Struthio camelus: one gene and its partners. The protein of the gene in region 1 binds, or shares a complex with, the protein of each later gene. Links are inferred from orthologs where the notes say so. Each region holds a gene or a part of one and is shown on either strand. Other genes may lie near its edges.

The links.
Region 2: the proteins of CCND1 (region 1) and AMBRA1 are in contact, whole or in part, in a cryo-EM structure (PDB 9IVD), measured with the Homo sapiens proteins. The link is inferred for Struthio camelus from reciprocal best matches to the Homo sapiens genes CCND1 and AMBRA1. Residues at the interface, in NP_444284.1 of Homo sapiens: Thr286, Pro287, Thr288, Asp289, Val290, Arg291, Val293, Asp294, Ile295; in NP_001354397.1 of Homo sapiens: Arg54, Ser55, Phe57, Val73, His75, Arg96, Thr97, Trp99, Leu116, Ala139, Arg184, Ile945, Asn1012, Asn1029.
Region 3: the proteins of CCND1 (region 1) and CDKN1B are in contact, whole or in part, in a crystal structure (PDB 6P8F), measured with the Homo sapiens proteins. The link is inferred for Struthio camelus from reciprocal best matches to the Homo sapiens genes CCND1 and CDKN1B. Residues at the interface, in NP_444284.1 of Homo sapiens: Met56, Ile59, Val60, Trp63, Glu66, Val67, Glu70, Glu92, Lys95, Lys96, Ser97, Arg98, Leu99, Gln100, Leu101, Ile126, Tyr127, Thr128, Asp129, Ser131, Arg133, Glu136, Gln139, Met140, Leu142, Leu143, Asn146, Lys147; in NP_004055.1 of Homo sapiens: Lys25, Pro26, Ser27, Ala28, Cys29, Arg30, Asn31, Leu32, Phe33, Pro35, Val36, His38, Glu39, Glu40, Leu41, Thr42, Asp44, Leu45, His48, Cys49, Met52.
Region 4: the proteins of CCND1 (region 1) and CDK4 are in contact, whole or in part, in a crystal structure (PDB 2W96), measured with the Homo sapiens proteins. The link is inferred for Struthio camelus from reciprocal best matches to the Homo sapiens genes CCND1 and CDK4. Residues at the interface, in NP_444284.1 of Homo sapiens: Leu6, Cys7, Cys8, Glu9, Val10, Thr12, Ile13, Ala30, Lys33, Ala34, Thr37, Phe108, Lys112, Met113, Glu115, Pro118, Leu119, Thr120, Ala121, Leu138, Gln139, Glu141, Leu142, Val145, Asn146, Lys149, Trp150, Asn151, Leu152, Ala153; in NP_000066.1 of Homo sapiens: Gly45, Gly48, Leu49, Ile51, Thr53, Val54, Arg55, Val57, Ala58, Leu59, Arg61, Arg62, Ala65, Phe66, Asp76, Val77, Cys78, Ala79, Arg82, Ile87, Val89, Asp129, His132, Ala133, Asn134, Cys135, Ser285, Phe287, Arg288.

The regions. Positions count from the first base shown.
Region 1 is NC_090946.1:32,623,227-32,630,820, forward strand, and holds the start of CCND1 (G1/S-specific cyclin-D1), read left to right. Parts: upstream 1-4,582; 5' UTR 4,583-4,702; exon of another isoform or gene 4,703-4,760; intron 4,761-4,929; exon of another isoform or gene 4,930-5,107; intron 5,108-5,324; exon of another isoform or gene 5,325-6,236; 5' UTR 6,237-6,332; coding exon 6,333-6,345; exon of another isoform or gene 6,346-7,215; intron 7,216-7,594. UniProt on the Homo sapiens protein: Regulatory component of the cyclin D1-CDK4 (DC) complex that phosphorylates and inhibits members of the retinoblastoma (RB) protein family including RB1 and regulates the cell-cycle during G(1)/S transition.
Region 2 is NC_090946.1:39,797,726-39,804,784, reverse strand, and holds the start of AMBRA1 (activating molecule in BECN1-regulated autophagy protein 1), read right to left. Parts: upstream 3,009-7,059; 5' UTR 2,852-3,008; intron 2,170-2,851; exon of another isoform or gene 2,074-2,169; intron 1-2,073. Other genes in the region: putative nuclease HARBI1, read right to left, coding at 6,335-6,711. UniProt on the Homo sapiens protein: Substrate-recognition component of a DCX (DDB1-CUL4-X-box) E3 ubiquitin-protein ligase complex involved in cell cycle control and autophagy.
Region 3 is NC_090942.1:81,531,342-81,538,684, forward strand, and holds the start of CDKN1B (cyclin-dependent kinase inhibitor 1B), read left to right. Parts: upstream 1-4,338; 5' UTR 4,339-4,662; coding exon 4,663-5,137; intron 5,138-5,699; coding exon 5,700-5,821; 3' UTR 5,822-5,830; intron 5,831-7,221; 3' UTR 7,222-7,343. UniProt on the Homo sapiens protein: Important regulator of cell cycle progression. Inhibits the kinase activity of CDK2 bound to cyclin A, but has little inhibitory activity on CDK2 bound to SPDYA. Involved in G1 arrest. Potent inhibitor of cyclin E- and cyclin A-CDK2 complexes.
Region 4 is NC_090969.1:2,238,109-2,245,498, reverse strand, and holds the start of CDK4 (cyclin-dependent kinase 4), read right to left. Parts: upstream 3,003-7,390; 5' UTR 2,923-3,002; intron 1,779-2,922; 5' UTR 1,745-1,778; coding exon 1,527-1,744; intron 1,433-1,526; coding exon 1,297-1,432; intron 1,209-1,296; coding exon 1,041-1,208; intron 412-1,040; coding exon 302-411; intron 67-301; coding exon 16-66; intron 1-15. Other genes in the region: CYP27B1 (25-hydroxyvitamin D-1 alpha hydroxylase, mitochondrial), read right to left, coding at 5,106-5,219, 5,307-5,504, 5,587-5,668, 5,756-5,922, 6,014-6,159, 6,248-6,448, 6,876-7,072.

The DNA of each region.
Region 1 (7,594 bases):
TGTACTTACATATTTAAATTTAAGCATCAGTTTAAGTCTGTTCCTGAATTAGCTTCTAAATCATTTGCAATCTAGCCTTGTCTCCAGTGAAAATCATTACGTTACATCCCTGGATTGCTCCAGAAACAGGAAAAAATACTCTGTGTACTTCTTGAGCAAGTTCTCTTGTTTTTACACTAACTTTTTGTTGGGGTTCAGCTTCTGTAAGCAGCTCCAGCCCCAGCCTGAATGCGAAGCTGAATCTGGGATTTGAAGAAATACTTTGGTTTTGGTCAAAATACGCTCAAACTCTACATAGATTTTAGAGAGGAGAGATAAGGTGGGGGCATGGCTTTATCACGTGTTTCAAGTAAATATGTGCCCTTCCCCTTTTCCAGATCCTCCCCTTCCCATCAGAATATTCCCTAGGAAACTTCCTGCCCTTTTCAAGACATGTTGCAATTAGCACTCATACCATGATACACATGCACTGGACACAAGCTTGAGCCTGGCAGAGATTCTGTGTGTATTTTGGGTTGGACATAAATATTAAGGGTTTATCTCAGTTTTCCCTCAGGTCAGATTCGGGTACTATACTGTTTTCCAGTTGAGAATCACTGCCAGATAGTCTCATGTAACTTCACTGAATCTAGCCATACTTCCTAGCCTGATGCAGTGAGGACTAAGGAATCCCATGTCAGTATCCTCTGAATTTTTTTAGCTTTATGAAAAAGACCTCCCTGCCGTGGTCAAGTAGATGGATGTTTTAGACAAGCTGACTGAACCTGACAGTTTTCTGAATGACAGCAGGTGGTGACAGATGAAGCACTGACTTACACAAAGCCACTTAAGTCATGAGCTGGGAATCAAACAATTATAAAGGGAATTTAGAATGGAGAGACATCCTATTTTTGATTTTGATTGTTCTTTTAAAGGGGACACCAATGCTGCGACACTTGTACAAACGCTTACGTTCTTCCTAGGCTAAGTTAATGTTAAGGCCGTACAACATTTCATACTTTGGAAACAAAACATCTCTGATGCAGCTGTTAATGAAAATTGACATTCATATTTTATTTCGAGCTTTTACTTTAATCCCACTGAAATGTAATACACGTGCAGAAAGATGATTCCTCTTTTTTCCCCCCATGAACAAATATCCACAGTTTAAGGTTGTAAAACTGAGCAATTTAGTAATGATGTAAACACAAATGAAAATTAGCCAACAAAAGAAATTCAATGGAGTTAAATAGGAGGCTATTATCATACCTTACATTCCCTTCTGTCACTAGCTGTAGCACCATGGAGAATCAGTAAGGTAAGAACTAACCATAGGGAACAAAGCAATTACCTGCTAATATGGTGCAGTAGTCCAAACACAGCAAAAATAAATTATAAATATGAATGCTACACAAAGATATAACTAAAGGTTTATGCATTTCCAAAGATATATGCTATTCCATACTAATTTTTAATCAAATTGAGTTGCACCACAAGCAAGTAAAAAAAATAACAGTTAGCACAAGCAGATCAAATTAAATGTAAATATTTCTGAAGTCTACACCAAGACTATAATCTCATCTTTCAAGGTATTCGGTTCTTCACTTCCTTTACCGAGTTAGGGAAGCAAGTAGACTAGATTCCCCAAGGCTCGTCACCCTCTATTATTATTTATATTTTTGCCCATTTACTCTAACTGCCACAGATTCAAAATGGTAGCATTCTAGAGCCACTCTGCACTCATTTGGCACACGCATAAAAGTGCACACACAAAAGGCAAAAGGTAGTAGGAATCCCAGGCAATATAAGTTTATTTGATTGTAGTCATTAGTGCTATACATTACAGGTTCAATCCTGCTCCCTTTGATGTTGATGGTAATACTCCCATTGAATTCATGTGCTCTGAAAAATGCCTGAGTTTTGCAAATTTATCATTTTGTCATCTATGCTTCAGGTCAAAATTATAATCTAGTGTTTTAGACTTGATTCTGAGCCAAATGATTTTTACTACAGGTTCAAAGAATGCAAACTTGTCCTTCAGAGAAGTGCCAATCCACTTTACGACGACGAGTAGGATGTTTGAGGCTGAGGGATCCAAGGGATACAAACATCCTGCAGGTGACTATAACCATCCTGAGCTTCCAGGGTCTCACTGCAGCAAACAGCAAGGATGTCACTCTTGCGGGGTGCATTGTGGCTGTCTCCTTAGAAAGGGTTTGGAAAGTTAGGATACCAGATACAGGATACCAGAAGCTAAAGAGACTTTCCAGCATTCTTAGTGTTATGGAACTGCATCTCTCTCAGTGAAATACCTTAAGTCAAGTCCTCAGTCATTCATGTTATCCAGTCCGCCACTTCTAAGTGAAGTAGCTTTCTTTCTTTTCTCATCCTCACTTTATGGCAGCCTCTGGTAGAGAACACTACATGGCAAGAGATGTTATGTAGTGAGAGATAAGTTCTTCTTCTGACTGCAGGCATTCAACCACTTTTAACACAAGTATTCAAGAGGCTCTGAAACTAGACAGGTGAGCGTCCCAAAAATGGGACTACGCTTTTCCCGAAGTCAACAGGAAAGAAAAGAGAATATGGAAAATATTAAATGGATGTCAGATTTAGGACATGTAGGATGTAGGACTTGTTGGACTTGTAGGACTTGTAGGACCCTCCTCTACTTCTTGTTTTACAGTGCCAGTGAAAAGAGGGGTGAAAAATACTAATACCGTGCTTCAAAAATTACTACAAGTCAGATGTCAGATGTAGGACTTGGATTTTGAAAGGATATCTCTCCTTCCCTGCCAAGGTTAAAAGCACAAGGAACCAGAACCTCACCAGAGGACTGGTAACCTGCCGCAGGCTGTGAAGGAATTAAAGAAGGTGAGAAGATTACAGGAAGCTGCAGGCCTGATCTCCAGAACTGACCCTTAGCACTGCCACTGACTTCAGCTGGAGTTAGGAAGTGTTCAGCGGTCCACGAAATCTGGCCCTGAAGAGATTATTTGCACTGGTTTTACTCAAAGAGCGTGTTGCAAAGATGCCACAAGCAGATTTACCATTTCCAGGCAGGTCTGGAAAGAGCAGATAGGGCAGCAGACTGAAGCAAAGAAATATGGCATGTGGCTGGTTGGGCTAAGTTCTCAGCTCTGGAAGAACTGGAGAATGGCTGGTAGAGTTGGTGAGAAAAAACATTGCACGTCTCATGTGTTTTTACACCAGAGAGCCCAAGGAGAATCTTTTATCATCATGTCTTCATTCTACATAGAAAAGCGCATATAGACATCTGTTGATCTCTGCAGCTAATTTTCTCTGGAGCCAACACATTTAACACATTTAAACAGGAGGCAAATCTGTCTTGATGGAGCTATTCTACCAATTTATCCTATCTGATACTCTGGCTCACAATTACTAATGCATCAATGTGGCATTTCTGGCAGAGGGAGACAAACGTAAGAAGAAGGTACTTAAGACATTCCTAAAATAACTTTTCTGCGGTGTATGTGATACATACTCCATGCTGATTTATTGGCACTTATCAGGAATTATATAAGGTAGCCTGCAAAATTTGATTAGGGCCTCGCCACTAACGAGTAATGCAGCCTAGCTGTCACACCAGAAGAATATTTGTTCCCCTCCCAACACATCATTACGTTAGCAGTCTACACTGTTACAGCGACCAAACTGCTATTCACCTCCGTGGGAGCAGCACTGAACCTATAATCATGCCAAAATACCCTCCTCTACTTCTTGTTTTACAGTACCAGTGAAAAGAGGGGTGAAAAATACTAATACCGTGCTTCAAAAATTACTATCGCTACCCAGTTCCACAACAAAATTCTGATGGGATTTATAATACGCCTTTAAACTGCCTTGCAATATTACAAAGAGGAGCTGTCAATTTGGGGAAGAGAGAAAATGTTTTTCTCCTGATTTGTAAACTGGGTTTCCACGCTCTGCCTGGCTAACCCGTGTTTTCACAGCTCACCAACCCGCCTCGGACACCGACACGTGCGCTGGTCGCTTCCATGCTGTTAGGTTGTCAAAGTGCACTGTCAGCTGAGGACTTTCGGTAAAAAGTTCACTGCAAAAGAGAAGCAAGAACTGTAGCGGCTCTTCTTTAACTCAATGGTGATGGAAGAAAAGGATTTCCACTACAGCGTCTTTGCTCTGAGAATTTTAGTGTGTAAATACGTTTGTCTTATTCACTTCGACGCCGTCACCCAGGCTCCCTTTCTTGCCCGTCCTTCCGGCCGGTCCTTCCATTTTTGGCATGGCAAAACCATAACGAGAAAAGAACAGCCCTCTTCCCGCTCCTCTTCCTTCCCCTCATTAATTTCACCTTCGTCCCTTTTCTCCGCTTACCTCCGTGGTCAGGCTAAACTCGGCCTAACTCCCAGCACCGGCTGCCCAGCCCGGCCCCGGGCCCAGCCCCGACCCTTCCTCCCCCGCCGCCCCCGGCCTCGGGGCAACGATCTGCCCAACGGGCCTCTGTCAGCGCCGGGACCGCAGCTCGCTGCCGGCCTCCGGCGCCCACCCGTGCGCGCGGCCCCTGGCGCCCCCGCAGACACACGGCGCAGGGGCGGCGGGGCCGCGGCACTTCAGTGCCTCCCGCCGCAGCAGGCACCGCTGCTCCCCCCCCGGCCCGGGCGGGCCCGGCCGCGCCGCCCCGGCGCTCGCTCGGGCCGGTTTGAGGCGCGCGGCCGGCGGCGCGCCTCTTCGGGAGCTTACGGTAGGCGGCGGCGGCGGTGGCGGCGGCGGCGGCGCGCCGGCCCCGCCCGCGCCGCCCCGGCGGGGCGGGGCGGGCTCGCGCCGGCGGCGGGCGGCGGCGGCGGCGGCACGGCCCCAACGGCGGGCGGCGGCGGGGCTCGGCCGCCCCCGCCCCGCGGCGGGCGGGGTGACATCATGAGAAAGTGCCGGGGGAGGCGGGCAGGAAGCGCCGTCGGAAGCGGGGCCGGCGGCGGGGCGCAGCGGAGCCTCGGGCCGCCGCGGCCCGCCCGTTAAGCACGCCTCGCCGCGAGGCCGAGGGCCGCGCCTCCTCCCCCTCTCTGCCCCCCCCCCCCCGCCCCGCGGCCGTTAGAACCGTTACGGGGCCGTTTCCGGGGAGCCGCCAAGCGGAGCAGATTCGAGGCCGCGTGTGAGGGGAAGCGGCTGAGCCGGAGGGAGGGGAAGGCGCCGGCCGTTACGGGGCCTGGCCGGAGCCCCGGGGCGGCGGTGCCGGTGCCCGGGCCGGCTCCGCAAAGGCGGGCGGGGGGCCGGGGGGAGGACCTCGGCGGGGCGCGCGTGTTGCGGCGCCCTTGCACTTTTGACCAGTCCCCTTTGTGTGGCCGGGAGGGATCGGCCGCGCCGCTCGCCGAGATCTGCCTGATCCGCCTGGTAACAGATCTCCTCCCCCATTGGCTCATGCTAATGGGCGCTTCCTGCGGCCGCGCCGCCCGCGCAGCGCCGGGGGCTCCCCCGGGATCGGGGCCAGCGCCGCCGCCACCGGCACCTCTCGCCCGGCCACCCCCAGCCCCTCCGCGGCGTTTCACGAACGGAAGCCCCCACGTTGCCGGCCTCGTGGAGAAAGGAGAAAAAATGGGGGGGGGAGGTGGAAAAACCCACCCAAGCCGCAGAGGCGGCGGCAGGGCGAGGGCGCCGGAGGCGGGTGATCCTGGGCCTGGGCTGAAGGGCTTTGAGCAAAGTGACCAGAAACAAATGTTTGGAGACAAAAGTGCAGACATGACACTGGCTCCTGGGGGAGGGAAGGGGTTCGGGCCGTGCCTCGCTCCACAAAGCGCTTGGCCTGTAAAATGCCAGGCAGGCCGCACACCAACTGCCCCCTAGGAAGGTGCTGGCGGGCACGGAAGTTAATTAAATGTGATGCCCGAGTTGCCCATCGTTGGCTGGCTGAATTCAACCGGATCTGGCAGTGCGGGGTCATTGTGTGTTTTTTTAGTAAAAATCAAAACTTCCCCAGCCAGCCTAAGTCATGAAAACAGAAGTGAGCTCCCTGCGTGTGCAGCATGATAGACAAGCACGGGGACACGCTTAGGGGACTGCTTCCTTGCTGAGAAACCATCCAGATTCACCCCACAGACTGCAGTGCGCAAGGGGAACTGAGATCCTGGGGCCTCTGCCATATCCTCCTAACAGAGGAAGACAAAATAGGGACAAGTGGTCAAGCAAACTGGAAAGATGGACAGATATTTCATGCAAAGGGGTTACGTAAGCACGCAACTGTGCAACAACATGCCCTGTGATCTTTGGCACTGCTTTCCCCATAGGTCATACAGGAGAGATGCTGTATGGCTTTGTAGCGTGTCGGTTACGGCCGCGAGCCCCCTCCAGTGCTTTGAAACCTGCTGGCGATGCTTCCCTAAATGCTGTTAAGGGGTAGGTACTAGTGCTGTTAATGCTGCGCTAACGTGGTGGTAAACACTGAGGTTGGAGTTAATTTGAGCACTCAGGTGAGCAGAAGAGGAGCTGAACCCTAGTTTATGGCGTTCTCACTTCTCCCTGTCCCATCCACTTCGGTCCAAGACAAGCTGTTTCGCCCTTGGAGCCGTGGGTTGCCTTCACCTCTGCTATTTTCCAGCAGGCCCCAAGCTCCCGTCAGCCTGTTAGAAAGCGGGGAGTTGAATGGAGACTTTTTATTAGAAACAGAGCAAAACACCAAAACATTTTCACATACAAGCGGTTCAGTTGAGCTGGGGGAGCAGGAGTTATTTACGGTGGGGCCGAGCGGTTGCGCGTCACGCGTGGACAGACCGTCCTCGCGGCACAGCGCGTGCAGTGAGGCCCTGGCAGCTCTGGTGGCTGCTGGCACCTCCCCCGTGTAGGTGCTAGCTGTGCAGGAGGAAACTCCGGCCACCATTTTGCAGCTCTGCTGAGATATTTTTTCTGGGTGGCTGTGTGCAGTGGGGGTGGGGTGCTGAGTTTTGGCCTGCCGAGGGTTAACTGCTGCTTTCCGCCCTTGGAATTAGCTATCACCATGTCCCCTGCCACCGCTGAGCCGCTTTTGGAGGGTAAATACTTAAAAGTGAAAGGAAAGACATAAAGAGAGGAAGAAAAAACACCATCTTGGTGGTGGTGGTGGTGGGGGGGGGACCCTAATTTCTTTAAAATTCTCATGTGCAGCAAAAACACGCAGGCTGGGAAAAACAGGAATGAGGAAATGGGAAAAAGCTTCTCCCATGGGATTAACTACAAAGACTCTGGGACTTCAGGTCAGGAGCGCGCTGTTTTAAACAGCAGATATTCCAGGTACACATCGGTAGTAATAATAACTGGTAATTAATAGTGGCACACTGGTACTTCTCTGCCCCCCCTCCCTGGCGCCCCCAGTAAAATAATACCAACTAAGTCTCCTTGTATTTTTATCCATGTGTGTCTGTGTGTGGCCTAGCCCCATTCATCATTTGGCTCCCACTGCAGAACTCTCTCCATTTTAAAAATTATGCATGATACACTGAAGAGACAATTTGGGTTTCCCCCACCTCTCCCTTGCCCTTGAAGAAAGCAAGCCCTTGTCTCATTTGCATTTGCATTAAAACCCTGCTCTCTATAAGCTAAGCAAAGGGGAAGGACTTGAAGCCTATGGGATGGCTTTAGGGCTCTGCCCCTTGCTTTTGGCTCTCTCTCT
Region 2 (7,059 bases), about 7.2 Mb from region 1:
GCCTCACTGAATGATTCCTTGAGAGCATTAGAAGCGGAGCTGTGATGGCATAAAGATTAAGACGACCCTCTCCATGCTCAGGCCCAGAGCCTCATCAGCCTTCAACAAACAGTTCACAAAAATTGGAGACAACAGATAGTTACTAGGCAACAATTATAATCAAGGTTCTTAACAACAAACGTTAAATCCCAACAAGTAGAGAATTACATCTCCTCATGTTTTAAGCAACACAATTAACAGGTCTTTCATTAAGAGACTACTATACAGACATTTTAATAACCTTGCATTAGAATATTCCTAATATTTAGTCTCTTCCATTACACTTATCTCGTTATTCTTTTTTGAAAACTAAACGATTCTTCTTTCCTTACCTCATTACTATTTTGATTCTATAACTTTCCTTGTTAGGTTAGTGCATAACCGCTAACACAAGAGTAAACAAGTTAACTATTAACACATACTACCTCCTTTTACCAGGTCTCCAATAATGCAACTTTAGTAGAAGGGATGGGAGGGGAGGAAGAAAAGTAGCTTAATAACATTCCTATTAACAGTATTAATTAGCATTAACTGTATTAAGAACATCAGTAATAACTGTGCAAGAACCTTGAATTCAGTTAGCTTGTCAACCATTGCATTAAAGATACTACAGTTATTTTCCAGAAGTTTCATAAAAATTGTAACACAGCAAAGGAGCAAATATTTAAATCTCTAATTTATGATAAAGGAATACCAGCAGACAGTATTACAGCTTGCATTCTTTACAACTAGTTGTTACATCTGCGTAAAAGTTAGAAATGCTGTGCGAAAAATGGAAAAGTAGGAAACATCCAAACAAGAATCCAGAGGGTCAGTTATGACACAGAGAAGGGAAAAGAAAGAAAAGCTGTCAGCACAGTAAACACTCTGGGTAAAATGCCAATCCCTCCCTGATAGGCAAATCTGAAAAGACGAGTCCAGATATCTGGATCCAAGCACATTATTCATCGCAAGTACTGGGGAGTGGGGGAGAGAGGCTAATAGACTGTTACACTCATTAACATCTACACTGCTACAAATGAACAGATGAGTACAAGACAAATACATGTATACTCATTTGTTACCTTCTGAACACAAAAGTACCAACTTAAAAAAAAAAAAAACAAAAAACTTATCCACAGCAACACTAATTGTGGACTGTAGTACTACTAAGCAAGCTATACTGAGGAGTTTCAAATGCTAGAAATTGCATTACAGTAATGATTCAGAATGTGAATAAAGATTTTAACTTTAGCAGAGAATTTCAGGTACTGTTTCTGAACCTCACTCATAAGGCATTTGAATCTGCTCAGATTTAAGACCATCCCACATTCTGAAAACTAGCCCAGCAACAAAACTGAACAGTACTGTAATGGATTGGCAGTAAATGCACGTTACCAGGAGGTCATTTTTGGGTCCCATTCTAACATTCCTATTAGCAATTTGAAAGAGGATGGGAGTGGCAAAGCCTAAGAAGCCAGAGGACATTTGCAAAGGACACCAAATTTGGTCGAGCAGTAAAGGACAAATACAGAAAAAGAGAGCCATGAGTGAACATTTCACATGGAGGAGAAACAGAGCAGCATGAAGCACTTTTCCTGAACCTACATATGCAGCTAATGCACTCCCTATATTCACAGGGCTGATCTTCCTGAGGACAAAATTCCACCTAGATAAAGGCTATTCTTGGTACTTGAATCTGTCTCTTACAGCAGAAAGATACTGCCAAAGAACACGTGGGAAAAAATTGTGAGTGATCATCTAAAACATCTCTCTACTCACTCTTGAAGTTGAAATGCTTTTCAGTGCAGAAATTAGGTTAAGCGCTTTCCAAAGACAACAGAAAACACATTACTGGCAAGATTAAAAATAACCTGGAAAAACTCAAAGAAAATGACAGAAACGTAGGTGTTGCCTGAAGGACTATTGTAAGAGAAAACAAAACAAAACGCTAGTGAACTAACTAGGCACATTCCCCCACAAGAAGAGATGTAATCAAGTATCACAGTGCTGGAGGCATATATAGGAATGGATTTTATGCAAAATATTACTTACAGAAGTAAGTACTCTGCAATATGCACCTTGAAAAACAAAAGGAGGGACACAGAGAACAGCACCTATTTCACCTTGTAAGAGGATAAGACAGGAAAACCAAAAAAGTGTTATATCCATTTCAATACCGCACTCTCTGAAAGCGTAACCTATCGTTATCCAGACTGCAGAAATGGTAAAACATTGATCCCTTTTAACAAAAATAAAGATGGGGGCAGTACAAGAGAAGAAGGCGATGGAAAGAAAAAAAAAATGGAGTGCCCGAGCTCGGAGCTGAAGTCAAGTTTTAAGAAGTGCTCAACTTGCGGCAGTTTCATACGGGACAGGCGCGCGTGAGGCAACGCGCAGGCTCCCCAGGCCCAACGGCCGCTTTCCTGGGGCGCCTCCCCGCCCGTCGCCCCGCTCCCGCCGCGCCCCAGCCCCCCGCGGACCGGCAGACGCCGCGGGAAGGCCGCGCCCGGGGCTGCCCCGGCCGGAGCCCCAGCCCCGGGAAGGCGTCGCGCTCCGCGGGGTCCCGGCACGGCCCAGCGGCGGCGCCGGCTCCCGCCCTCCCTCACAAAGGCCCGGCCCCAGCCCCGGCCCCGGCCCCGGCCCCACTCCGCCCGCCGCCGCCGCCGCCGCCCCGCGCCCGCAGGTGCCCGCAACCTTCCGGCGCGCCCGCGGCGGCGGCGCCGCCCGAACCCGCCCGCGGCCCCCGGCCGGCCGGCCGGCCGGCCCGCCCGTCCCCCGCCGGCGCGGCCCTGCCCCGCAGCCGGGCCGAGCGCGTAGGCCCGGAGCCTACCTGGTGCGGGGGTGCGGGGCGGAGCGGGAGCGGGGCCGAGGCCGGGGCCGGGCGGAGCGGGGCCAGGGCCGGAGGAGCGGCCCCAAGAGTCGGTCGTCGCCGCCGCCGCCGCTCCGAGCTCCGGCCAGGCGAGCCAGCCGAACGCCGAGCCAGGCCCTAAGAGCAGAGCCCAGAGCGGCGCCAAGGCCCGAGCAGCCGAAGCTAGAACTGTGCCAGTCCCCGCGAGCCGAGCGACGAGCTCCTTCGCCTCCGCTTTCCACGGGGCCGCCCGGGGGCGGCAGAGAGCAGGCGCGATGAATCGAGCCCGGAAGGGCGAGCAGGGGTGGGGGCGCTCCCGGGAAGGTGGGGCATCACCCCCCCTCCCCCCCCCAAGTCACTGCAGCGGCTGCTTTGCCTTGAACAAAAAATACATCCCTTACTTCTAGTCTGACTGGGTTTGCATTGAGGGGCTGCTTGGGGTTTCTCTGCTCAGACTTCCGGATGTCACGTTTTGGCTGTTACAGAACTCTTTAGGAGCGGGAGTCTTCTCACGCAGAGACAGGAACCACTTAATCTTTTCTTGAACATGCTGCTTAAATCTCTCCCTGCAAGACATTGTCCAGGTCTCACATCTTTTATCCTGAAGGTAGATATGGCAGGGGGGAGGGAATGTAATTGAAAAGGCAAGAAAAGATAGATGGTATCAGAACAAAACACATTTAGAAGGAAAAAGATACTATCAGATAGAAGTTAATTGAAAAAGATTATTTTCCTTAAATAGAATGTTAATATTCATTATTATATATTAATCTCCAACATCGTGGATGAGGACACAAAACGTGTACGTAACCCCTTGGAAAGAGGGTCAGCATGTAATGAGAAGCCCTAGGCAGGAACTAATATTAGGAGTTGCTGTAAAGGTTGTGCTGCCTCATCTGTATCAGAGACATGAGTCTCTGGAGAGATTTGAATGTCAGGAGGAAAAGTCTAAGCAAATGAGGGCACTCTGTGTCTATATATCAGCAAGGAAAAAGTCAAGAAGCCCACCTGACTGAAGCGTACAGCTTGAGGTTTACTGCAATAGGCAGCGTAAGAGGGAGCAAAGGCAGCTAACAGCTTCACTAGGCAGTCTTTGAGGAGGTTTTAACGGGAAAACTGGAAAAGGCTGATGATGTGATTTTTTGGAGTAACTTAGTCAAGCAGTGAAAACTCCAGTACCTTGGATAGACTGTCACTGTCTTCTTCCAACAGAAGGCTGAGATCTACCAGACAGTATTAGCATGTGATGGTCAGAGCAGGCTTTACATTTCAGAGCTCTGACAACACACAAACTTTATGCACTCTGGAATGCAGCTGATGAGTTCTGTGAGGGGGGAAGCATAGAGGAGCTGCAAAGCAGAGAAGAAATACGATTCTCAGCTGTCAGGTTTAAATATGATCTAAGCCCAAGGGAAACAGAAGAGTCCAGATGGATTGTTTTGAAGGAAGCTGCTTAGGAGTACATAACACAAACTCTTCTCTAGATGAAGAGATTCCATTTCCCAAATCAACTGAAAGGCACTGAGGTCTGACTCAACGAAGAGCAGGCTGGTTTTGTCAGTACACCCTGATGCAGTATTTGCCCAAACTGATAAGGAGTGAGATTAGTTTTGAAATTACAGTCTACCAAAGGCGACTGTGGCTGCAGGAAAACAAACCCCAGAGGTGAATGTGTTCCAGGGAGTGCCGCTGCTTTCGTCTCAGTGCATGCTGTCAAGAGCTATTAACAGTATAAACTGAGAAACTTCAACTCATTATTACATGACAGCTGAGCATACCTACATGCGTCCAAGTCTCACTTGACCTTCGCTTCACCCACTCAGCTCATACTGGTGTCTGGGTCTGATGATAAGCATTTTTAGCACAGTCAGATATGATTATGGGACACCAGACATACATGGCAGCAACTCTTACCTTTCATTCTGGCATTATGGTTATTTTACAAATGATTTTCTATAATGCTTGCACATTTCCTCCTAGGTAAAAGGAGTGGGGTTTTCTCCACAGTAAGAAATAGTAGTTCTTAAGTGATATATCATGAGAGAAGGTATAAAGAAAATAGAAGAACATCTCAGATTGCTGTACATGTTATTTTACAGTTCTAATCAAGGCCTCAAGAAACAAGTTGCTTATACCTCATCAAGCCTGCTCATTGTGTATAAAATACTAAATGCTTACTGCTATTGCAAACTGACAGAACTATGTCTAATCGCAAATCTTCACCCCTTAAGAATGAGAAAGGATAGGACATATTCCTAAAACCTGTGAGGCATGAACCAGGCTCATTTTCTCTACAAAGAGCAGAAGACCTGCTGGGCTAAATTGCCATGCTACTTTGAGTGTTAGTTTTTGTGCAGCATTCTGAATTCCCTACCACTTGGATGTTACATTTACTGCCCAGTAAACAATAATATCTCTAAGAAACAAAACTGTCTCAGACTGCTGTCAAGAGATATCCTTGGAAACGCACGTATCCTTTGGAAAGGGACTATTGCCAGGATAAGGATACTTCAAAGTTTTGTGCCAACAAGAACTGCGTGCATTAGAGTCTTTTTTCCACTGAACAGGGACATTGCCAGCAATGGTGGAAGGGCCTTCCCGTATATCAGAGCTGAGGCACGTAGAGAACATGTGCAATTGGTTCAATTTTTTTTAATCCAGTCAGTCCTTCACATTTCTTTTAGAGCAACCAACAAGATGAATAGTTAACAACTGTTTTTGTTGTGGTAGCCATATCTAGTGAGAACTAGACTCAAATTCACTAGCCCATTTCCTGGTATCTGTTAAGTAACAGACACAGCCAACTGTAGCTTAACATCTTCTCCAGTTTGGGAAAGAAGAAACATCCAGCCCTTCTTGTCTTTAAGATATGTGCATACACTAAGGTGTACCCACCAAAAAAGCCTAACTCCTCCCAGAATACAACCATCAGCATTCACAGGAATCATTGCGTTTTGGGAGGTGTGCAAAACCATTAATGGAATTTAGTAAAGATCTTGTATCTGCAGGCCAAATGAGGAGTGCTTTTTGTACTTTGCTGCTCATGAATCCAGAGTACCCTGGAGCCCAGAAGGAAGTTTAATTTGTTGAAATGTTGTTCAAAAACCTGATTAAGTGTTTCAGCTTACAAACCAGCATAGAACTGCGCTTTGTAAAATCGTTTGAACCTTATAGATTTTTCATAATTATCAAAGACCATTTTCCAAGTCTCTCCTCTAATCTCACACTACTGAGACTATTCTCTAAAATAAGTGAAAGGGGAGTCTATGTGCATCACAACAGTAAAAATTCAGCAACTAAATAGGACATTTAGAAGGAGATCAAGAGAAGTTCAGAACACCCCCCGAAACGAAGTCAGTAAAGTTTTCCCTGTCGCACATCTGATCAGTCTTTATGAACTTACAGAAGAGGGGCATATTTGCTCCTGTATTCTTCCCAGACCAGCCTTTAGAAGCTGTCACAAAATTAGCTAAAATGAGTAAGCAAAAGCTCCTGGCGTATACGACAAGCTTCTGAGTCCATTGATTCCATTTGCTCATATTCTTCTTCTGGTTGTTCCATGTGTCCTGTGGCTGGGGAAGACCACACATCCAGCCCATGCTCCAGGGAGATGTTATGAAGCACGCAGCAGGCCAGAATGATATGGCTGGATTTCTCCGGCGAATATTGCAGGGTGCCTTTGGACCCATCCAAGCAGCGGAAACGCGATCGAATGGTTCTGAACGTCCGCTCGATGACATTGTGAGTGGCAGAATGCGCCATGTTATAACGGTATTCTGCAGGTGTCTCAGGGATATGCAGAGGGGTCATCAGCCACGTTCGGAGGAAGAAGGAGCTGTCGCCTGTTAGTGTTCAAAAACAGGAGAGATTACATACCTACGGTTAACAATAGGTTTCAGCTCTTCATTCTCAGTTTTCCGGTACTGTAGATCTAGAATAACTTTTTTTCCGGCTAAAAACAGAACACATGAGAAAATATGAAAGATCAACAATAACTCAGGTTTACAAGTGTGATAGAAGACAAAAAATAAAGACACTCTATTTGACATGAAAAAATCCTAAAGAACACTGAAGAGGAGGGTTGTTAAAAGAGAGATTCATTTACTATGCAATACAGTGAAATTATGACAACTGGACTAGAATCATACGTAAAATTAAAAAGTACATAATTCAGAAAGGGGTAGGATGCT
Region 3 (7,343 bases), on another chromosome or scaffold:
GGAAACCATGCTCTGTCCCTACAGCAAGCTGAGGAAAGAGGGTTTGGGCTTCTTGTAGCTCCCCTCGTGCATTTTTCTAGTGCTGGTCACTGGTGAATTATATCTGAGAGACTTGGTAGAAGAAAATAGCATAGGCCTGTTTCCTCTGTGACACGCTACTGCTAAACCTAATAGGGTCCTAATTCTGCCAACAAGGGAAGGGTTACTTTTAGGCATGTTAAGAATATCCCTAGTGACCTGTGGTGAGATCTTGGGGTCTGTGCCTTGCATCTCATGATGGCCTCATCCCAAATTCCTTGAGGAAGCTAGCATTTTTCCTGAAATATTGGAGGTGTGAGGAAACAATCAACCCAATAAAAACAGAGGTGGGTCAGAAGCTTCCTCAAGCCTTCAGCTTTTACAGGCTCATTTCATGCCATGCCACCTTCACCCTCAGCTCTAGAAGAAGCATCCTGTGGAGCAGCTCAGGTATTATTCCCAATTTACCTACAATTTGTAAGGGAACATAAAAAATCCCAAACAACCCAAACTCACATCCTTTATGTGTATAGTTTAATGTGCTTTGCTGTTTAGTTAGACAACCTCATTAAGTGTTGGGGAAGGAGGGTGGCCAAAATGAGGCTGGGAAGCTTGCCGAAGCAGTTTGGGAGGAAAACAACATGGAGAAGCTCTGCCAGTGCTAAAGCCCAAATAGGAGAGTGGAGCAGGGTACTGGGAAAAGAGGGGACAGGGTGTTCAGAGACCATTAGCCAGGACATTCCTCGCACAGACCTCCGTATAAACAGTCCTCGTTCCTTCCTAGTCCTCTCCTCCAAGTTTTTTTTTTTTTTCGTGTCTCCCTTTCTCTAATCCTCCATTCCCGATCTTTGCCTCTCCTTCTTCAGCTTAAATGGCAAGAGCGAAAGAGAGAGAGCTAGCAACCTCGAGGGAAGAGCCTGGCTCTCCCCGGGGCTCGGCTCCTCGTCAGTTCTAGGCGGCTGCGCGGCCGCGCAAGGCAGCGCACGGCCCCTGCTCGGGCCGGGCTGCTGTGCCCGGCTTTTGCAAGACGATGGCGCTCTGATATTTCGCGATCTTTACTGCGGGGCTCTATAGTATTTTTTCACGCTTCGCTGCTACTACAGCAGGCGCCTGCCTCTCTCGCTATTTGCTGCAGCCATCGGGGGTGCCTGACTGTAAACAAAACACTTTAGATCATGGCAAGGTCGCTGCAGACACAGCCTTTCTCCTCGCAGCCGCCGCGATTTAAGGTGGACCCGCCGCGGCCGAGCCCTTGCCCGCGGGGGGAGCCAAGTGCCGCGCCGGGGCCGCGCAACCTCGTGTCCGCCCTGCTATTTTTGCGTCTTTTTTACCCCCCCCTTCCCTCTCCCCCTGTCACTACGCTCATTTATCCCAGCGCGACCCGAGTGTGCCGCAGCCCCGGGCCGGGGAGCAGCGTTTTGCGGGGGCCGCGATAGCTGCAGAGGGGCCGCTGCAGGCTCAGGTGCGGCCCCCCCGGCCCGCCCCGGACCCCCCTTCTACTGCCCGGGGAGGCGCCGCGGGCCCCCCCGGCCCACCTGCCTCCTCCGCGGCCACCGGCCTCGGGGCCCCCCTCCGCCGTGGCCGCGCGCGGAGATTTAAAAGAAGAAGTGATGGCATAAGCCAGATGCAGACCACTCCTACTTCGTTTTGCTTTCACTGCCATCAGTGGCTCCATTGATTTTCCCCCCCCCCGTTTTTTTAGTTACTGGTTTTAATTATCCAGGTACATTTACTACTCTAGCATCTGGGGGCTCAGTCTTAGGTCCTGGTGCTAGGGGCGGTACAAGCAGAACCAAAAAGAAGGTACTTGCTCTAAAGCTCTGCTTTTTCAAAAGCTATAGATAAATCAGTGCTCCTTTCTGCTGTAGTCACCTTCCTGTTTGCTCACCTGTGGCACACGCAATCTTTTTCCCAATGCTCGCCCCCCATTATTTTTGTTTTGGTGGAGGTTTGTACCCAGGTGCGGTGTCGTTCATCCTACCAAGGGGCTTGCCTCTCTGAGTTACTGTTTGTGGACTTCTGGAGCCCTCATGGACTCAGGAATCGTACACTGGCTCCCAAGCAGCCAGGGAGCAGGGACTGGGAATTTCTCAGCTAAGAAGTTACTGGTCAGACCTTCAGCAGATTATCAGCAGGCTTTGCCGCATGAAGGCCCCATCAGCACTATGAGCCCTGGGCATCTTCAGGGGAGCCCCAGGACATATTTTGCATATTGCTTTCTTAGTGTTTGGCTCTTTTGTTTAATCATAGCAAAGCAAGTGTCCTACACCTGGCAGAGAAAGTGAAGAAAAGTTTGAAATCACACTTCCGTGCTGGTAACTATGAAAGTCAAAGACAGGAAAAGCCTGGAGAAAGGAAGAAAAAATCCTTTAAATAAAGCAGACGAATAGGCCCCACTTTGCCAGCTCAGGGAGTTTTATCAGAGAGTTGAAACTCAAGAAAACTCTTAAGCTCCTGCAGACATGAGAATGTCAGCTTTAATTTTCTGCAAGTGAATTGCTAGAACTTGTGGTTGCTGAGAGAAGTTGGAAAACAACTTCTGAGTGCTAAAAAAACCGAGCAAACAGATAGAAATAACATGGCTAATATTTTATTTCAACCTTGTGGGTTTTAAAACAATCTCATTTTGTATTCTTCTTGTTTTAGCTGCACACATCATTTTTTGAACTTGGAGGTGGCAATACTGAGATTACCCTGGAGAGAGTGGGCTGAGCAAAGGCCAGGGGGCTGCTACCTCCGGGTTGCTGCAGGCCAGCAGACTGCTTTGCCCAGGGCTTGAGTTCTGTATAACTGTTATGTTCCCTCTCCCAGTGTTTGCAGAGTTTAGCTCGTCACTTCACAAGAGCAATTGCAGTCAAAGTTTCAGTGGCCCTTCAGGACTGTAGACCCCAAAGCACTATGTGTATGTGTTCAGCACAGGGTAAAAACCTCAATGTCTTCAAGGCCAAATCAGTTGACCCTGTTCTCTCAGCCAGTTACACCTAGTTGTACTGACTTCCACCTCGTTGAAATAGTTTGTCACAGCTGCAGTCCCAGCTTTGGAGAAGGTTGGCCTGCCTGCAGAGAAGAAATGGGCAGACGGATTGGTGTGAAGAGCCTCCATGCTCCCAAACTGGACCCGGGTCCCCGGAGAGGTCAAGGCCTTTAGCAGTAGGCGGCAGCATCCTGGGGGTGTGCTGGCTCCAGAGTACCTGCAGTGTCCTGCGACATGCCCTGCTGCTGTCCATGGGGCCGCTCTGCCTGGTGATGGGAGATGGCTGAGGAAGGGGCGGGAGATAAGCAGGGTAGAGCAGAGGACACTATGTGCCTCTTATCTCCACCATACCTGCTGCAGCTAGCTGAGGAAGTAGCTTAGAAAATCCCTGGCTGTGATTCTTGGCTCATCTAATCTTCAGAGCACACAAACAGGACGAAAACTAATGCTTTTGTTTTCTTTTCCCGGCTTGCCGAGTTCTGAAATCCCAGCAGAGGTTTTTAGAGCCGTTTTTTCACCTAGTCCTCTCTCTGTCGGGAGGACAGCAAGAGGTTATCTTTCCCGCCCTCGCGCCTTCCCCTCAGAGCCACCAGCCTGACTCTGCAGCGGGCTGGGTCAGGGTGCTGGCGGGTCAGGGTGCTGACAGGGAGAGGTGCCCGTCCTCTCGGCACGCCCCGGGGGAACGAGCCCCCTGCTAGCCCCGGGCCTGCCTGAACTCCCGACCTGGGGTGCTGCAGCGCAGGAGCCCAGTCCCGGGAAAAGCAGCGATGGGCCATTTCTGTCGCAAGAACGGGTCAAAATGTAACTAGCCGCCACCATTTCTCACTTCAGCCCTTTCAGCCAAGCGACGGGATTATTTTTTTTTGGGGGGGGGGGGAGGCGGAGGGGAGCACAGGCTCAGCCCAGCCCGGCCCTTGCAGAGGGGGGCGGCGGCTGTGCGGCCCCAGCGGGCTCGGGGCGAGCGGCGCCTTGGCACAGCGCTCGCCTCCCTCGCGGTCCTGCCCGCTCCGTCCCCTCTGCCCCCTCCCTGCGGCCGGGCGCGGGGGGCGGCAGCCCCGCCGGGGCCACCTTTAGAGCCGGCGGCGGCGGCGAGGTAGGGCCGCGCCGACGGGGCGGCGCCCGCCGCCGTAACCAATGGCTCGGCTCCGCTGTTTAAATAGACTCGTCCTGTCAATCATTTTCTTCTTCGTCAGCCTCCCTTCAATCGCCATATTGGGCAACTGAGAAAAGGGCTCGTCTCCGCTTGTTTTTTTCCGTCTCGCCCTTACTACGCGGCCGCGGGGAGAGCGGCGAGGCGCGCGGGCGCGGCGGGGCATCGGCGGGCAGCGCGGAGCCGCCGGCCGGGCCGCGGAGGGCAGCGCCGCTCGCAGCCTGCGCGCTCGCCCGCGCAGCGCCTGACCCGCCCGGGCTCGGCGGCGGCGGCGGCGGCCGTCGGGGCTCTCCCCTCGCCCCGGCCCGGCGCTTATGCGATTGTTTGCCGTCGCCTCTTCTCCGCGGTCCCGAGGAGGTGCCGGAGAGCGGGGCAGCGCGGCGAGGAGGAGCGGAAGAAAAGCTTTCACCGCGGAGAAATAAAAGGCAGAGAGGAGGAGGAGGAGGAGGAGGAGGAGGGGTGGGGGGAGAGCAGCGAGAAAAACAACCGCCGCCAGAAGAAAAGAGGGTTGTGGGGGGAGATGTCAAACGTACGCATTTCTAATGGGAGCCCTACCCTGGAGCGCATGGAGGCCAGGCAGTCGGAGTACCCGAAGCCTTCAGCTTGCAGGAACCTCTTCGGGCCGGTGAACCACGAAGAGTTAAACAGGGACTTGAAGAAGCACTGCAAGGAGATGGAGGAGGCATGCCAGAGGAAGTGGAATTTCGATTTCCAGAATCACAAGCCCCTGGAAGGCAGGTACGAGTGGCAAGCCGTGGAGAAGGGGAGCTCGCCCGACTTCTACTTCAGGCCCCCGAGGCTACTCAAAGCCGTCTGCAAGTCCGCCGGCCACCAGAGCTTGGATGTAAACGGGAATTGCCAGACCGTGATTTTTGTTGGTTCTCAGGGAATCTCAGAGGACACTCACTGTGTAGATCAAAAGACTGATGTTTCTGAAAATCAGACGGACTTTGCAGAGCAGTGCACTGGGCAGAGGAAAAGACCTGCCACTGACGGTAACGTACCCTTGCGAAAGCCGTGCGGGCCCCGATGGTGTCAGCGCCGGGGCTCTCGACCCCTTCGCCCGCACCATACGCGTCCTTGCTCCGGGGGGGCTCTGCCCCGCCGGGCACCGTTTTAGGTGCCCCACAACCCCCAGCCTCCTTTCGCCTTAAAAAGCCCAGGTGCTGTTTTTAAGTCCCAGGAGCGTCCGACGTGCAATGGGAGCCGGTGGGTGATTTGCAAGCAAAAGCCCTTATACACTAGTAACACCCTCTGCGGGAACCCGGCTCCCTCCGAGCAGAGGAGCAGCACCAGGGGTTTCATAACGCCCGTGTGAAGCAAAGGACGGACAGGGATTTTAGATAAAAACAGGAAGCTTGTCTCTTTTACCTAGGGAGGAGCCCTTCTCTCCTCCCCCTGCTCTCCTTCACTTAATCGATAGTAGACATGGGGAGCCGGCAATGTTCCCTCCCCGGCCCCATCTACCCCTCCGGATGCCGAGCAAAATTTGGCAGGAAAATATTTTAATATCACTGTTCCCCCCCACCACCCTTGTTTTTAATTTTCCCCTCCTAGATTCCTCTCCTCAAAATAAAAGAGCCAACACAACAGAAGAAGAGGTTTCAGAAGACTCCCCCAGTGCAAGTTCAGTGGAGCAAACACCCAAGAAATCAAGCCCAAGAAGACATCAAACGTAAACTGTTTAGGTAGGTTCCCACTAGGACCTGGCGTTAGGATGCCAGTTAGGCAAAGAAAGGGAAACCGAGGGCGGTATATATCCTGCCACTATAGGGAGGCTTCAGGCCACTCCAGGCTGGCTGATGAGGCGTTTCTCCTCCGAAACTTTACAGACCGCGTACTTTTTCCCCTAACGCTTTTTGCCTGGGTGTGTGGGGGTGGGACGTTTCTTTGAAAGGAACAAAACGAGCGCGCAGCCCCGCGGGCGGAGCGGCGGCCCGAGGCGCGGGGGGCCGCGGGGCTGCGCCGCCCGGTGCCGCCGCCCGGTGCCGCCGCCGCCGCCTCTTCGCATTTCGCTCCCTCGGATAAGGGAGGCTCCTCTCCCAAAGGCTGCCGGGCCTGCGCCGGGGCGGGGGGACGGGAGTTTCAAACGCGACGGTTTTATCATGTCAGGTGACAAAGGGGGTTGGGGGGGAGCTTCCCCCTCCCGCCTTGATGCCTTTGCACGTAGTTTACAATGTCAGCATTGTCTTCGCACGGAGCAGCCGACTTCCACCTCGGGAGGGCTGAGTAAATAAGTTGGATGGAACGGGAACGGGGGCATTTTCTTTAAATGCGAGCTAGACAACCTTTTTTTTTTTTTTGTTTCCGGTTGTTTTGGTTTGGGTTCAGACGCTGGCAGAAGGGTGCGTTTACGGGGAAGGGAGTGGGTTAATGGGAGCTGGGTCTTTTTTGTTGTTGTTGTTTTGTTTTAACGTGAGGGCTGGGGCGGAGGGAGTTGGTAAATTCTGCCGGCGGTTTCAGAGTGGAGGTTAGAAGAAAGGTTTACAAACGCGATTTGCGATTGTGCTGGAGAGATTAAGCTGTAAAGCAGAAGTTGCAACAAATTAGTCCTGCTGGGGTGAGCGGTGGCAGAGCACGTCAGCATGCGTGTCTATGCAAATGCTGCTACTACCGCCCGTTTGTTTGGGTGGGGGAAGCTGCTCGGCGGCAGGCCGGCGGAAAAGGGGTTAAACCTGGCCGAGAGGAGGGTTCTCGCATTATTTATTTTTACTCCAGCGGCACAAAATGCGTTTGTGTCCCGAAAGATGAGGAAACGCAAGCGCGGCGCTTCGGGCCCGCTCGCCCAGGGCCTGCAAAGCGGCCGCCCCGCCGGGGGAGCGCGGGCCGGCAGCGGCGGGCGCCGGCGCGGCCGCAGCCCAGACGGGGCGCACGGCCCGTGGCGGGGGGGAGGCGGCCGCGGGGCGCCCCCGGGGCCTCCTGTGCGGCCCGGGCTGCGCTGTGCTGTGCTGCGCTCCCCGCCCCGCGGAGCCCTGGCGGCCTGAACCAGTTGCGCCTGCCCGGCGGCCGCCGAGGAAAAGCATCACGTTTCTTTTCGACGTTTCTAATGTCTTCTCCTCCCGTCTCCTTCCCGTTGCAGAGTTCGGAATTTGCGTTTCCTTGTTCATCGGATGCCTCGGGGGTCTGTGAAGCGAGGAAAGTGTAAACTTGTAGTAAAAATGAAAATACATATCGTCGATCTCCATGGGATGGAGATCCTGT
Region 4 (7,390 bases), on another chromosome or scaffold:
CCACAAATCACTTACTCAAAAATCTTGCCCAGCTGGTCGGCCTCTGAGTTACCGCAGAAAAGGGGCCTGGGGGGGGGGGACAAGGGGATGTCACCAGGGTGGGGACACACCGCTGCCGTCACCCACCGATGCTGGGGGACACGGGGGCTCGGTTGAGGGCAGGGATCTCCCACGGGCCGCGTTGGCGGCAGGTGGCACCCCGTGACCAAGCCGTGGGACACGCCAGGGACCGCAGGCCCGTGTCCCCTCCCTGGTCCCCCCCCTCCATGTGCCCACCCCCCCCCCCCGCCCCAGCGCTCACTTCCGCCTGAACATCTCGGCGAAGATGCAGCCCACGCTCCACATGTCCACGGGCGTCGCGTAGGTCGACTGGAGCAGCACCTCGGGCGCCCGGTACCACAGCGTCACCACCTGCCCGCGGCATGGGGACGGTCACAGCCTGCGGGTCCCCTCCTAGCTGGGGGGGGGGGGGGGCCACCTCCCCCCTCAACGGAGAGCCACAGCCACTCAGCCCCAAAGCAGCCTGGATTCGTGGCCACTTAGGTGTGGGGACCCGTGGCTTCCTAGGTTCACGGCCACCTTGTCCCTGAAGGCCCCCTCCAGCCCTAGGGACACCTGGGACCGGTGGCTCCCCAGACTCACAGTCATGGCCACAAACGTGGCCCCTCTGCCCCATAGGGGCTTCCTAGATTTGCCATCACTCAACTCCTGGGTCACCCTGACCTGTAGCTCCCCGGGCTTGTGGCCACCTGGGACCCACAGCCAACCCAACCCACGGCCACCTGGGACCCGTGGTCACCTGAGCCCCCACGGCTTCCTGGATCCATGGCCAACCCAACGCGTGGCCACCTGGGACCCACAGCTCCCTGGATTTGTGGCCACCCAGCCCCATGGTCACCCAGCTTCACGGCCACACAGCCTTGGAGCCACCTAAGCCCCATCACTCCTCGGTTTTGTGGCTACGCAGATTCGCAGCTACGTGGCCCTACAGCCCCCCCAGGACCCAGAGCTCCCCAGATTCACGGCCCCTGGCCACACACCACAGGGGTCAGGGCCATCTGGCAGCTGTAGATGCGGGCCAGGCCAAAGTCGGCCAGCTTGACCTGCCCGTTGCTGGTCACCAGGATGTTCTCGGGCTTGAGGTCCCGATGGACGATGCAGTTCGAGTGCAGGAAGTCGAGGCCGCGGAGGAACTGCCGCATGAGGTCCTGGAAAGGGAGAGCGCCCGGTGTGAGCGACCCCCCCCATGCCCACCGTGGTCCCACGGCCATCGTGCCGGCCCCCCCCCAAACCCACCTTGATGGTATCGAGCGGCAACCCGGGCGCAGGCGCCTTGTCCAGGTAGGTCTTCAGGTCCTGGTCCACGTGCTCGAAGACCAGCGTCACCTTGGTCTCGCGCTCGGTCCGTGCCGTGGCGCAGACGTCCATCAGCCTGGCCGGGGAAGGGGGTGAGGGGGGGACACGGCGTCAGCAGGGGGGAGGTCCCCGGTCACCGCGGGGCGGGAGGGGGCACCCACAGGACTCACCGGACGATGTTGGGGTGGTCGAAGTGCTCGAGGCGCTTGAGCAGGGCCACCTCGCGCACGGTGCTCAGGGGCAGCCCGTTCTCCGTCGTCTGCACCCGCACGTTCTTCAGCGCCACGAACTTGCCGCTCTGCAGGTCCCGCGCCTTGTAGACGGTGCCGTAGGCGCCCACGCCGATCTCCGCCACCGGCTCGTACTGCGCCCGCACCTCCTTCGCCATGCTGGCGCCGCCGTCGGCCGGGGCCCCCGGCACCCTGCAGCACCCAGCACCCGCTGACCGGCACTGGCCTGCATCCTCCCCCGCCCCCGCCAGCACCCAGCGCCGCAAAGAAAGAGCAGCGTCAGCCTGGGAGCCAGCGGCACCCTGCAGCCCCGGTTCACACGTGGCCACGGCACCCAGCACCGCCCACCGCCAAAGCCCAGCGCCCCAGGGACCAGCATCCCAGAGCACCCTGCGGACCCAGCACCCCGCGGACCCAGCAGCGAGCAGCTCCCAGCACCCCCAGCTCCCAGCACCCCAGAAACAGGCATCCCACAGCTCCCAGCACCCTGTAGCACCCAGCAGCTCCCAGCAGCTCCCAGCACCCCATAGCTCCCAGCACCCTATAGCACTCCAGAGCTCCCAGCACCCCATAGCTCCCAGCAGTTCCCAGCACCCCAGCAACTGGCACTTCATAGCTCCCAGCGCCCCAGAGACCAGCATCCCAGAGCACCCTGCGGACCCCAGCACCCCACAGACCCGAACACCCCCAGCTCCCAGCACCCAGTGGCTCCCAGCACCCTATAGCTCCCAGCACCCTGCAGCACCCTGTAGCACCCCATTGCTCCCAGCACCCTGCAGCTCCCGGCACCCTGCAGCACCCCACAAGCCCCCAGCACCCACAGCACCCCATGGAGCCCCCCACCCCACCCCGGCGACCCTACCACAACACGCCCCCTCTCGCCAGCGCCACGCGTGCAGCGGGGACCCGCGGGGGAGGCTCTGCCCCTCGTGCAAGAGGCCGGTGCACGGAGAAAGGCGCGTGCAAAGGCGGGGGGGGAGGGGGGGAAGGGGCCGCCCGCGTGCAAGGCGCTCGTGCAAGGCGGGAGCCGCCGGCGTGCAGCGAGCGGGGCCGGGGCAAGGCGCGGGTGCCACGCGTGCACGGGGCCGGAGGCGGAGGGGGGAAGGTCCCACGCGTGCAGGGGGCCGGTGCGAGGGGGAGGCACCGGGGGGGGGAGGGGAACCCGGCGCGCGCAGGGGGCTCGTGCAAAGGGGGCCGCGTCGCGTGCAAGGGGCCCATGCAAGGGGCCGCGCGCGTGCAAGGGGCCCGTGCAAGGCGCTCGTGCAAGGGGCCGCGCCCGTGCAAAGGGATCCGCGCAAGGGGCCGCGCGGGCGCGCACGGGGGCCCCGCGACTCACCCGAGCGGCAGCGCGCGGGTCTCGGCGGCGGGGCCCGGGCCGGGGGCGGGGCTGGAGGACCGGAACCAGCGAGACGAGCCGGCCGGAAGGGCCACGGTTGGGGGGGGAGGGAGGAGAGAGAGGGACGCCTGTGTCCCCCCCCCACTCCCCAACCGGGCTTTATTTGCAGGGAGGGGCGAGGGGAGGGGCGAGGGGAGGGATGCTGGGTGCCGCTGGGAGAAGGGTTCCTTCCTCCCTCCCCGGCTGCCCGGGCTGGTGGGACCCCCCCCCCCAAAACCCCGGACGCCTGGGCTCCCCGCCCAGAGGCTGGGGGGGGGGGGGGCGATGGAGGGGAAGAGGGCGGACTCGAACCCGCGGCCCCGAGCGCTGCTCGACCCCCCCCCCCAACCGGCGCCGCGGCGCGACAGCGCCCCCTGGCGGAGAGCGGCGGCAGCGCGCCCGGCCCCGCGCGCCTTGGTGGGGGGGGGGCGCCCCCTCCCCTGCACCACAACCCCTAGGACCCCCCACCCCCACCCCGGGGAGGGGACCCCTGAGACCCCTCCCTCCCGGTCTGGCTCCCCCCCTCCCGAAGCTCCACCCCCGGGGCACCGGGACCCCCCCACCCCCGCGGGGATCGCGACCCCCAGGTGTCCGTCTCCGCCCCCCCCCCCAACGCGGAGCCGTCACCGCGGCCCGGGCTCTGTCCGTGGTGCTGAAACGGCCCCGGCGGCCGGCGGGGCCCACGGGGGACCGGCCCCACGTGGGGGAGACCAGGACTGGGGGGGGGGGAGACCGGGTTCACGGCGGGGCACCGGGATCACGGGGGGGGCACCGGCCCCATGTGGGGGCACCAGGACTGGGGGGAGACCGGGTTCACGGGGGGACACGGGAACCGGGGGGGAGACCGAGCTCAGAGTGGGGCACTGGGACCGGGGGGGGGAACCAGCCCCACAGGGGGACATGAAGACCGGGGTGGTGGGGGGGGGGGAACACCGGGCTCACGGTGGGGGCACAGGGGACACTGAGAGCACGGGAGAGGGGGACCTGGACCACGGGGGGTGGGGGGCACCAGGACCACGGAGGACACCAGGCCTGGGTGGGTCCCCCTGCTCCCCAGCAGGGATCCAGGCCCCCCCCCACCCCAGGTGCTGGGTACCGGGGGGGGGGGGCTGAACCCCACAGCTGGGCACAGCTGGGTGCACATGCGCAGAGGCAGCACCGTCCCTCATGCAGGGGCACACGCGTGTGCGTACGGCTCCCGTGCAGGGACACACGCGTGTGCGTACGGCCCCCCCAGCCACGGCCCCGTGCCCAGCGGATGAAGGCGCTGGGGCCCCCCCCACGGGGCAAAGGGCTCCGGGCCGGGGCCCTCACCGTGCCCTCACCGCCACGCACGGCTGGGTCGGCGTCAAGAGGCGCCGGGGGGGGCACCCCACGGGGGTCCAGAGTCCCCCGAGCGTTGACGTCAAACGCTGCGTCCCCACGGGGGACGTCAACTCGCTCGGAAGAGGCGCAGCCGGGCGTCGCGAACAACGCGGTGGTGGGGGGTGGGTGCAACACCGGAGCGGGCGGCAAGCCATGCCCTCGCCCTCTCCGGGGTGGGGGGGGGCCGCCCTTCGCCCACCACCGTCTGGGCCGCGCGGGTGCCGCCCGGCGGGCGCGGGAACGAGTCACGTCCTGGCACCCCGGCGGGACGGCGGGCATGCCGGGGCAGGAGGGCGCGCGGTGCGCCCGCCCCGCCGGAGCGGGCGGCGGACGGCAGCCCCGGGGTGCGCAACGGGCCCTTGAATCACGCCGGAAAGCCGGGGCGGGCGACGGGCTGGGGAAGGGTGGTGGCGGGTGGGGGGATGTGAAGGCAACGGCCCTCCCCCCCCCCCCAACTTCCCCAATGCAGGCACCGAGTCGCTCGCCATCCCCTATAACCCCTTTTATTACATAAATAAACCTTTAAATAGCCCGGCGGCGCTCGGAGCGTCCCCGCCGGAGGGTGGGAGACACGGACGGCCCCGACCGGCCGGGCTCCGCCGTGCGTTTAGGCGGGTGCCGCAGACGGGAAGGGTCTCCTTAAGAGCAATAAATAGGGGCCCGGTGGGCTTAAATAAGGGGGATTTTGCAGCCAGCCAGACCAGCAGCCGGGGCGGCAGGCGCCGCGGGGTGCCGCCGCGCCGGCCCGCGCTCGGGGCGAGGGGCACCCGCGGCCCCGCTCAGCGGCTCAGGAAGCGCAGGTTGATGTCCGTCTCCGGTACGAGCAGCGTCCGCGTCATGGGCCGCACGGGGCGCCCGCCGGGTTCGGGTTTCACCTCGAAACGCTGCAGGATCTGCAAAAGAGGCGGGGAAGGCGGGTGAGGAGGGTGGCGGGTGGCGGCGGGGGGGGGGTGGCGGCGGGTGCCGGGTCCCGCTCTCACCTGCGCCAAGGCCAGGTGGATCTCCAGCTCGGCGACGCGGCGGCCGACGCAGCTGCGTTTGCCGACGCCGAAGGGCAGCGAGGCGAAGGGGTGGTGGCCGGGTTGGCGGCTCAGCCAACGCTCGGGCCGGAAGGCGTCGGGCGCCGGGAAGAGGCGGGCGTCGCGGGACGTGGCGTAGTGGCACAGCGTGATGAGGGTCTGCGGGCAGAGTCGAGAGGGGGCTGAGCCGCGGTCGGAGCGGGTGCTGAGCCGTCCCCGCCGGCTGGCCGCCCCGGCTCACCTTGCGGGGGATCAGGTAGTCGCCCAGGAGGATGTCGCGGTCGGAGATGACGCGGGCGTTGCCGGGGATGACCGGGTAGAGCCTGCGGCGGGAGGGGAGACGCCGGGGGTTGGTGAAGGTCGGGGGCGCACCGGTGGGCGCGAACCCCGGCGCCGGCCGCCGCGCTCACCTGAGCGTCTCCTTCACCACGGCCTTGAGCAGGGGCATGCGGGCGAGCTGGGCGGCCGAGGGGCCGCGGCCGTCGCCCAGCGCCGCCGAGACCTCCCGGTGCAGGGCCGCCTGCACGTCGGGGTGCCGCGACAGCTCGTACAGGCTCCACGACAGCGTGCTGGAGATCTGCGGGCGGCAAGGAGCGGCGCTGAGCCCGGGGCGGCCCGACGGGACGCTACGGGCACGTAGGGAGGGACGGCGGCGCCCGGCATCTCACCGTGTCCACGCCGGCCAGCAGCAGCTCGGTGACGTTGCCGTAGATGACCTTCACGGGCACCTTCTCCCGGGCCAGGTGGTAGGTGAGGCAGGTGCCGTCGAGCCGCTCGGCCGCCTCGGCCACGCGCCGGTCCACGTGGTCCTTGGCTGGTGGGGGAGCAGGAGGTGCCGTGAGCGGCGCGGCCGGGTGGCGGGGCCACCGGCGTGCCCCCCGCCCGGCCACCCCGGCCCTCACCGAAGGCGAACATGTAGTCCCAGGCGTCGCAGAAGGTGCGCCAGGGCTTGGGGAAGAGGCGGTGCAGGAAGCGCGGCATGGCCATGGTGAGCAGCGTGGTCCCGAACATGGTGTTGACGGCGCGGATGAAGGTCTCCGTGTCCTGCGGCACCTCCGGCTCCAGGCAGCCCAGGCGGGACCCGAAGAGGACGGAGGAGATGCCTGCGGCAGCCGGTGGGTGGAAGCAGTTAGATGGGGGCCGCGGGGACATGGGAGCCTCGGGGGACACGGGATCACCTGGGGGAAACGGGAGCCCAAGGGGTAGACAGGAGCCTCTGGGGGACATGGGTTCACCTGGTGACATGGGTGGCCCTGGGGGACACAGGTGGCCCGGGGGGGGACAGATCAGCCCCTGGGGACATGGGAGCCTTGGGGGACACGGGATCACCTGGGGGACACGGGAGCCCAAGGGGTAGACAGGAGTCTCTGGGGGACATGGGTGGCCCTGGGAGACACAGATGGCCCTGCGGGGGGGACAGATCAGCTCCTGGGGACATGGGAGCCGCAGGTAGCTGGGGGGGGGAAGGACACACGGCCCCAGGCAGAGCTGGCCGGGTGCCGGCGGTGACGTCCCCCATCCCCGACCCACCTTCCAAGCCAAACTTGTAAAACTCGGTGGCCACGTCGGGGACGAGCTGCTGGGGGTGACGGTCGCGCTGGCGCTGCAGGCGCCGCAGCAGGTCGGCCACGACGGCCTCGAGGGCGCCCGCGTAGGCCTCGGCCGCCCGCGGCCGCAGCAGGTGCCGGCCCAGCAGGCTGCGCATGCGCTGCCACTCCTCGCCCTCCCTGCCGGGGCACATGGCACACGCGTGACACACGGCACGCACATGACACACGGCACACGCGTGCAAATCGCCTGCAGACGGGTCGGCATGCAGCCCGTGCACGCATGCAAAGGTGCATGCATGCAAAACGCCTGGAAACGTGTTTGCATGCAACCCATGCACACGTGTGCAAAGCTGCACGTGTGCAGCACGCCCGCAAACGCGTTTGCATGCACAAACGCGTGCACACACGTGCAAAGCTGCCGGGCTGCGCGCGTGCCGGACGCCTGCAACCGTGCGTGCACGCCCAAAGCCGCGCGCAAAGGCGCGGGCGCACGGA